Daphnia pulex: one gene and its partner. The protein of the gene in region 1 purifies or fractionates together with the protein of each later gene. This does not show direct contact. Links are inferred from orthologs where the notes say so. Each region holds a gene or a part of one and is shown on either strand. Other genes may lie near its edges.

Region 1 (4,882 bases):
CTTCAGACAGCAATTAACAATTTAACCTTTTTTCGTGAAGTAAGGTAAATGCTCACGGGTGTAAGACATTTTGATGCGATTTTTCCACCGATAAATATAAAGTTAACATATTATGCAACAACATATGGATGAGACTTTTATTTACGCCTCTGTGCTCTTACGTTTCAGGTGGTTGGTCCCCGGTGGTATGTTGTGAAGAAGATTTGTAGCTTCCTGTAGCTTCGAATATTTCGTTTACCTCGCCACGACTATCACACTGGCCTTTATCAATAAGCTCACTCATTTTTTTATAGATATGCGATAGTTTGATAAATTCTTTGATACGTTTTAGTTAATGGGATTGATGAGGGAACACACGACAACGAAAACCAACAAAAATCACGATAAACCCAACGAACGAAGTGACACGGGAGCGTTAGTCGGGTGTTCATAGGCCTGAGGCTATTTGAGGTCGACTCGCATGAAAAACTCGCAACGTTACTGACTGAAAAATGTGAAGGTTTCACCGTTTGTCCTTGGAGAGATATTATTGTGGGTTAAAAAAAAACCATTGTTCTTTTGAAGGTTTAAATCACTGCATATGTTTGAAAGAATTATACTATACGTGGGCTATGACCGTTTAACCTCTATTCGGGTACCGTACATTCCTGTAATTTTCTCAAGTTTAAACATTTAGCTTTAACATAATAACAATTGTAGAGGTAAAAGAAAAATGAAGACTTGAAATTCATATACGCCATCTGTGTATTCCACGTCGTTAATTGCAAATCAAACGTCTAATAAATGTCTTAGTCTTTGGGATGTAGTAAATGGGGAGTATCTCATGAATAGAACAATGATACACAATTTGGTTATCCGTTGATGATCCAACAGTTCACTAAAACCTAGAACGTCACTGACACATTGTCTGTGAAGGTAAAGATCGCATCTATGGCCACATTTAATTGAAATGATGCAAATTTTAAATCATGGCGATAAAATGACAGTCGATTTTTATACTAAAATTGCTACGAGAAACTTTGTTCGGCGTGGGATTTTTGGGAAAAACCGATTTACCAACTTTCGGTACTCTTTTGGTCACTGTGGATTCAAAAGTCCCGCACTTGGCAACATAACAAGTTTTTTAAACCTGAAAAAAGAAAGCAATAGAGATTACAAATCAATACTGCCGTTAAGGCTGTCCGGTTAGACCGAACTATATACAAGTTCAATATCACAAGTTGGAAAACGTCAGGTCATTTAGCACCATCTACAGTGCGTGGAGCTAATAAACGAGGGAAAGAAGACAAAGTAGAAAACCTAAAAACAAAAACAAAACAAAAATAGAACTGAAAAAGAAAAAGGAATGCGACAAGCCAAAAGCATAAGATTTTAAGCGGTTCGGAATCCCAATTAACTTACAATTTTCGGATGCTCGAATCCTTTTTTCTCGAGCTGGGACGTTTCCACGGAGCGTCGTCCGGTTCGTAGGGTAAAGGCCCTTGAACGGGAAGGTCGCAGGTAGACTCATCTGCTTCCGACGCAAGAGGGTCACCGGAGGAAGCAGTCGACTCGCTATTCAAAGGCGACATCCTTTCAATACTTCAAAATAGGAGAAACAGAAAATCATTAAATTAAACAGCTTAGCCATAATAATTCTTTTTAATTGCCCAGCTTTTAATTACGTACTTGGAATGGTTTTTACTTGGTCGATAAAGCGCTAATTCATCGACCAGATCACTAACACGAGCTTTGAGTTCATTTCGTTCGCAGAGAATCTCTTTTAGTTCGGCTATGGTGAACCGAGGGCGATTTGGATCATTAATATCGATGACAATTTTATTAGTGAGATCTGGTGCGTCGTTCTATTTTCAAAGAGTGATTAAAATTAAAAAATTTAAAAAATGTATCAAATCAGTGTAGGAATACCTGGCACTGAATCAAATCTTCATTGTCTCGTTGTGCGACACCTAGTCGCTTATTCAGCGCAGCCAAATTCCTCGACTGTTCTTGATGTAGAGCCTGCAAATCTGCTCTCTCTTCAACCAAAGTTCTCATTTGCTGAGACATATGAGTTTGTTTCCTCCGCAATTCCTTGTTGATTTCTGTCAATCGATCCACTTGATTGTGTAGCTAAAAATACCAAATAGGTACTGTAACGTCCAGTAATAATTGCAAAAATTTTAAATGTAAATTTACAGATTCTGATTCACAGAGTTTATCTTGATACTCTTTGTCCCTGCAACGCAACAGATCTCTCTGTTTCTCATTAGCTTCCCTGAGCTTTTCGAATAAATCCCAATCAGGCTCTTTTGGTATGGGATCTAAAATATAATTAGATAAAACATTAATATACATTGCTTGATTGAAATCATAAGGAGAAAACCTTACTTTTAGAAACATTTTTCTCTGTACTTTCTTTTAATGAAGAAGACAATCTCTTGTTTTCTTCTTGAACTCTTGAAATTTTCCCTAATAGTTCTTGTGTTTCTTTTTTCCAGTTTTCTTCTAGCTGCTCAATTTCCTTTTCATATCGTAACCTATCAACAGCTTTCTCCCTTTTCTCACGTTCAAGAAGACTGATGTTATTTTGTAATTCTTCTACAAGTTGCCTTTCTGATTCCTGCCTAAGATTCAAGCACAGAAAATAAATAAGAATACATTATTGCTCTTTGTAAAATGTTTTCTTCATTTAAGGACTTACCTTCGAGAGGTTTTATCAAGCAGTTCCAATACTCGTATGACTTTCTGCATCAGCCCTTCAACTAGTTCATTTCCATGAATGCTAATAATTTTTTCTAACTCATTACCAACATCAGAGGCAAGATCAAACACATCCACAACAGAAATATCTGGTAGGGAATCATATTCTGAAGAAGAATCTTGCTGATCTTCCACACATCTTGGTGAAGGCAAAGGCATATTGAATCTTGAACTTTGGCACACAAAACTTTCACTGATTTAATACTCCAAGAGCCCAGATCTCAATTGTTGTTTTAAAAAAGGTTTCATGTAGGGATGTCTGCGGTTAAAATGGTGGATAACTAATAAAAATTTTTTCCGATTTGGTCATAAACTTACGAAACAGTTGTTGAAACCAAAGATTTATTTATTCATTCTCTTCACGCAAGAACAAACAACCCCACTCTGTTTTGGGATGTGTGTTTCATAGAAACCCTTCCTACGCACTGACTTTAAAGGGCTCTTTAGGTGATAAACAGCGGAGAGCAAATGAATGACGTCATTGCAGAATTACTCTATCGACTTTGTCGAAAACAGGTTTGAAATATATTTTACATTTTATGGACATGGTTATAGAAAATACTGCAACGCAATGACATTCGATCTGATAAAAAAATTTATACAATACAAAAATTACGGCAAAAATATTAAAATTTATAATTTATGTATGTTTCAGGTAGTTTCAAGATCTGGCAACACCCATTGCCATGGTGACCAAAATCAGGTTAGTTTTTTCGAATAAACAAGAACAAATCAACTTTCATCACTTTTCCCCTTGAAATAATCGGGAGTGGTTTTATACGATTTCTAAAAATGAGCAATTCATTCAGGCCCAGAAGTGGTTATTCAAACCCTGACAGGTACAGCGCTGCGCTGCCTGTTATGAAAATGCGATTGGAAAACGAAATTATTCGTAAACGTGAAGCAGAAACTCGTCGAAGTGAAACGGCTCGATCGAATGACAGGTATTTTCAAAATTGCAATCTACAAAACGAGAAGTTTGACGATTGGACGTCCCCAAGAAGTGCCCAATTAAGCCACCGTCAATCAAAAATACGTGAAACAGAAATTGATGTGGAAACTCGTAGGAAAAAACTTAAGAAACTGTATCAAGGAGACAGATTAAATGAAGAACAAGCATTGAAAAAAATTAAACAAGAAGAAGAAAACCAGAAGTGGGAAAATATGAAGGATAAAGTGCAGCATTTTAGGCATTCAAAAAGTGTAAAGCTGAATGAGTTTGTCGAGAACAGGGAGCATGAACAGTGGAAATCTACTAGTGCTTCATTCAGGGCATTTGAATCTGAGTTGAAGAAACAGCAACAACAAGAAATGTGGACAATTCAACTGCAGCAGAGAGAAGAAGAGAAGCTAAGATTACTGGAAGAAAAGAAAAGAGAAGCTGTCCAAATGGAACGCTTGGTTCAGGAAGAAAGGAAAAGAGAAGAAATAGAACAGAAGATGGAATTACAAAAGAAACAGCAATGGAGAAAGGATCTAGATGAGCAAGTTGAATTGTTGAGGTTTGTAAAATATTTCTCATGTCTTTTTCCTTATCATCGATTAAACTTAAAAATTCAATACATTATTACATAATATTCCATCTTAGGTCGAAGGATTTTGAGGCAAATGAAAAACGACGAGAGCACGATAAACTAATGGCAGACGCTGCTGCATTGGAGGCTATCAAGGAAGAAATGCAAAAGAAAGAAGAAGAAAGAGCAAAACGACAACAGAACGGGTATTTATATTCTGTGATAATTGTTAAACAACAACAAATTAAATACCTTGCTTTTCAGGGAGTTCCTTACCAAGCAACATTTAGCGAAGTTAAGGCAACGGTCTAAAGAAGTGGCCGCTGATTTGGAAAAAGAAATGAGCTTTGCCGAGAAACTTTTCCCAAATGAAAGTGATTCTGCTTTAGAAAAAGAAAAAACACGTCAAGACATTCAACGATTTTTACAACTCGTTGAAAACCATCGTCGAATCGAAAAAGAACGCCTGCAGCAGAGCGAGTTTTTATTCCAGTAATTGATTATTCTTTTTGGATTATTTTAAGTTCATTTGTAAAATAATATGTCGAATATCTGCCTTCACAGGGAGGAGGCTAAGCGAATGTGGGAAAAACGGGAATTAGAGTGGGAAGCCGAAAGGTTGGCTC
Region 2 (4,479 bases), on another chromosome or scaffold:
CCAATTAGCGCCTCAGAATATTTAGTTTCCAAGTTCAAAATTACACAAATACAAAGAAGGAAGAACGAACCGGTTTTTGCTTTTGAAGGGGCGGAATTCCAATTCAAGACTGATGAATTTGCATTTTCTGTTTACGGTGTAAATTCACACACATCGTCTGCTTCTGAAGCAATGACGTCAGATTTCAAAAATCAATTTGTTTCGATATTCTCGTTCGCCAATTGGCAATTGCGATTGCGAAACAACATTGAGCGCAAGACGACAATGGTTAGTCAGCCACTCCGAGTTATTTATTTCACAAAAGGAAGTGTCTTGTTTTGACAAGACACACCCTTAAAATGTACAAAGATCATTGCCTCGAATAATGTTACAGGAAGATGAAGGTTTACAAAGAAAGAAAGAGGAAGTTGAAAGGGTTTTAATAACTTAAGAAAACTACTCATGGCATACATTTTAGTAAAACTTGTGTCCAGCTAGAAAAAGTAGAGGAAAACGAGTCGTACGACGTATACTGTAACTGTATTGACATGTCCCAATAACTGTAAAAGCGCTGAGTGACCTTTTTGGATCTGCTGGGACTCTGCTGGTATCTCATTTCCAACGATAAGAAATCTACGCATCTATTCGTCAGTGGTCCCTATCTGAGTGACTACAATCATATTTAATTTTTTTTTAGCTCAGGCCAGTTGTTTTGCCAATATTAAACCCTAAACCTTGAAGATAAAATTATAGCGGAAGTCAATGCTTATCTCTCTGATGCCGTTGGTTGAACAAAAAAAGATGAAGCAACACCCACACCGAAAACCCGCTGCGAAGAAAACGTTTTCTTGTTCGAAGGAAAAAACCCATGAAGTAATCGCTTTATCGCAATGCTTCTGGTCAGACTATTGCACTAACTGAAGAAACTCAAGTCTACTGGAGGGTAACACAAGTTGATGATTCATCCGCATCGATATCGACATACCATCGAATTTTATCCTATTGATTGGTTATAAAGAAAGAAAAGAGTATATATTGTTAGTTATTATGAAAACGGCTCTGTATTTACAAGCTTCAGCAATAAGAATCAGCAAAAAAATGGAAATTTCGGATGAAGAATGTGTGTGGTTTAGCGCAGCAGGTTACAGGGCCAACAGTAAGGAAAAGGACGCCTTTTCTTGCATCAAAGTTACTTCGAAACAGTAAAGTCACCAATTGCAGAAAGAAAAGATTATCGTGGCATCCACGAAAAAAAAAAAGCAACTCGGACAAAAAGAAAGAAGTTTTCACAAACCATTTAGAGTAGTTCGGTACAAGGCAAGATTATTGGAAAATGGAATTGGATTTTGAGTCGAGCAATAACGCCACCGGCCAAATTTGAACTTTTCGTTTCTTTTATTTTAATTAGTCAGGTGAAAGGAGACGTGTTAAACGGGTGTGGATTGACATGTCTCCTCATTCTGTCAACAGCTCTCAATTTAAAATCACCCACTGAACCTTCAAAGAAGAATGAGGATAAACAATCCATTAAATACCATCTCATTTTGCTTCTTTCCCTGTTTTGGTTACAAAAATGCCGGTCTAATTGCGCGGAACTTCAACGTTGATCACATCCATGTTTAATTGGGCGCTTAAGAATTGAAGAAATTTGTGTGTTTATTATTACTACTACTAACAGCACCGATTAGATTGGCGATCATTGCGACTTCCTTCCAGTGGGACGCGATCTAAGGGCTCGGCTTGCTCTCGTCCGCAAGTTTTGGTCAAGATCGCTTGGGCCAGTTCATAGAAAGCACTCTCAATGTTGATATTGGCCTTAGCTGATGTTTCCATAAATCTTATTCCATGTTCCCTGGCAATCTGCAATCATAACATGTCATTTTCAAGATAACCAAGAACAAGAAATTGATTAAATTACCATCTCTCCTTTTTCTTTACTAACTGCCCTTTTGTCTTCAACATCACATTTGTTACCAAGAATCATTTTCTCTACATCTTCATTGGCATGCTATGGAAAAAAATGGAACAAATTTTATTTCTGGTTCCTTAAATTATTATTCATGACTATTATTATTACCTCATCTATATTTCTGAGCCATTTTGCAATGTTGTCGAATGTTTTCACACTGGTAATGTCATATACAAGCATGATACCCATTGCTCCACGATAATAAGATGTTGTGATGGTGTGGAAACGCTCTTGACCCGCAGTGTCCCTAAAAAGTACAATGTACATGTTAAACCAAGATAAAGTTTTGAGAAATTTAATAATTTTTACCATATCTGAAGTTTGATTTTTTTCCCTTGCAGCTCAATAGTTTTGATCTTGAAGTCGATACCTGCAATTGACGAAATAGTGACGTTTTAAAAGGCAATCATGTGAAAAAAATCTTGTCAGGGGTGCGGCTGGGAAATTTAAAAAAATTTAGGGAAAATGAAGATCCATTAGCTCACCAATAGTGGAAATGAATGTTGTATTGAATGCATCATCAGAAAACCTGAACAGAATGCATGTCTTTCCGACACCTGAATCCCCAATCAGCAATAACTTAAACAACAAATCATACGATTTCTTTGCCATATCTTTCAATTCTCTTTTACGAACGGGTTCTGCAACTCTTCACTACACTCTCAGACTCAAACCATATGATGACGGAAAACGAAATAGAACAAAAATGATCACATTCACGATTAAACGGAGAAGGCCTTGGTCGTTTGAGATCATTAACAAGTGGCTCCAACACCAACTTAACTTGTTTTTCATAAACTTAAAAATAGGCGAAACCGTAAATTCATTGGCATTATCTTTAACAACTTTATATTTAATGCAACGAAATCTTTATCATAATTTAGCTTAATCTTTTCAAAATTTACTTCCTAATTTGTTTGTAACATAGGTGGCGCTAGTTGAATCCCCATAAAATTTCGCGCGACCAAGTCGATAAATCCGCGATAGCAAAAATAATACAAAACCTTACGTATTGAAGACTTGACAACTACCAGAAAAAACTTCTAATGATTTAACATCAAACTGCACTACGCTAAGTAACCATCACTTAAAATTCTGTAAAATTAAAAATCTTTGACATCTTCATCTTCGTTTGAAAAGTGGATTTACAAGTGGAGGAGGGAACAAGAATGGAGACGAATAGACAATTTGTCAGGCCTGGTTTAATAGTTAGATATCACTGAATCCATTTTGTATGCTTGTTTGTGCAATCCAATCGTTTGCTTGTTTTGGACTTTGTATGACGTATCGCTAAAACACCTCTTGAGATAAGAGTGGGTGGGATATTTTGCGATTCGAAGTAAGTTTCAAACTAACCCATTTAGCTTTTCTACTTGATCACATAGCTGTCAAGAAATTCACCTATTTGAAGCTAATGCCTAAATAGCGGCTTTTTGCATGTCGTTGATGGGGTTTCTAGAAGGATCGCAGTTTAAGCTTCTTAGTAATGTTAGTTGTGCAACAACATGGACTCATGATTCAATATCTCAATATTTATTTCTTTTACATCACCTTTCCTATAGAACTTTTGAATGATATTTTAAAAGTTACCTTTATTATTATTAAAATATCTGAATGGAAGTGGTCTTGATATTGTTATCTCGTCATATTTTTCTTCAAATTTTTGCTAGGCCTTCTCTCGTTCTTGATTAATTTCATGCATTTTGCTTAGGGAAGGCTTTTCCTATTAAAATAAAACATGGCATCTCAACCCAACCACCCAACCTACCCTTCTCAGCCTGGGCAACCAAGCTATGGCTGGGCTGTCCCGGTAGATCAAGGTGATTAAGTCATCTTTTCAGTTTTGAATCCCAAAACTTGTACGACGGCTAAAGGCCAGATATTAATGTATATGTGTTCAACATTCCAGGACCACCACCTCCGTACAATTCAAATCCACCGCTTAATCCACAACCACCCGCAGCTCCAGCCAACAACATGTACGGTGGTGCAGATTACGAATCCGGAGGACTCGGCGATGCCGCGTTTTCCTTCTCTGAAAAGTCTATCCGTATGGCTTTCGTAAGGTATGGATTAAAAACTTTACTACACGATCCCATCATAAAATAATAACCAATGTCATTGCAGGAAGGTGTACGCGATTTTAATGGTGCAGCTTGCCATCACAGTGGGATTCATATCTCTCTTTGTCTACGAACCGAACGTCAAGATGTACTCCCGTCAACATCCTGAAATGTGGTGGATCGCGTTTGTCATGACCTTCGTCCTTTTAATCGTTCTGGCGTGTTGCAACGATTTCCGACGACGCTGGCCTTTAAATATTATTTTACTGGGACTTTTCACGGCTTGCGAAGGCTTTATGCTTGGCGCTGTCTCGTCTCTCTACAGAGTACGTTCAAGTATTATTTTTGGTTGTAATGGTATCCACTAATCCAATTATACTTGTTTACAGTCGGAAGATGTGCTAATCGCCGCTGGTATCTGCACGGGGGTTTGTCTTGCGCTCACCATTTTTGCTATGCAGACTAAAT

Evidence for each region.
Region 2: the proteins of RILP-like protein homolog (region 1) and ras-related protein Rab-10-like purify together in Homo sapiens (co-immunoprecipitation; 3 studies listed by BioGRID and IntAct, with this or other methods). This does not show direct contact. The link is inferred for Daphnia pulex from reciprocal best matches to the Homo sapiens genes RILPL1 and RAB10.

What each region holds. Positions count from the first base shown.
Region 1 is NC_060023.1:5,831,756-5,836,637, forward strand, and holds RILP-like protein homolog, read right to left. Parts: upstream 3,202-4,882; 5' UTR 3,061-3,201; exon of another isoform or gene 3,002-3,060; 5' UTR 2,902-3,001; coding exon 2,684-2,901; intron 2,607-2,683; coding exon 2,371-2,606; intron 2,304-2,370; coding exon 2,179-2,303; intron 2,113-2,178; coding exon 1,909-2,112; intron 1,845-1,908; coding exon 1,669-1,844; intron 1,582-1,668; coding exon 1,402-1,581; intron 1,300-1,401; coding exon 1,236-1,299; 3' UTR 1,130-1,235; coding exon of another isoform or gene 1,078-1,129; 3' UTR 727-1,077; downstream 1-726. Other genes in the region: sodium- and chloride-dependent GABA transporter ine-like, read right to left, coding at 162-283; trichoplein keratin filament-binding protein-like, read left to right, coding at 3,535-4,244, 4,331-4,462, 4,521-4,748, 4,821-4,882. UniProt on the Homo sapiens protein: Plays a role in the regulation of cell shape and polarity. Plays a role in cellular protein transport, including protein transport away from primary cilia.
Region 2 is NC_060018.1:11,839,586-11,844,064, reverse strand, and holds ras-related protein Rab-10-like, read right to left. Parts: upstream 2,662-4,479; 5' UTR 2,561-2,661; coding exon 2,434-2,560; intron 2,319-2,433; coding exon 2,258-2,318; intron 2,196-2,257; coding exon 2,057-2,195; intron 1,988-2,056; coding exon 1,898-1,987; intron 1,840-1,897; coding exon 1,651-1,839; 3' UTR 1,022-1,650; downstream 1-1,021. Other genes in the region: protein lifeguard 1-like, read left to right, coding at 3,687-3,768, 3,858-4,014, 4,076-4,337, 4,401-4,479. UniProt on the Homo sapiens protein: The small GTPases Rab are key regulators of intracellular membrane trafficking, from the formation of transport vesicles to their fusion with membranes.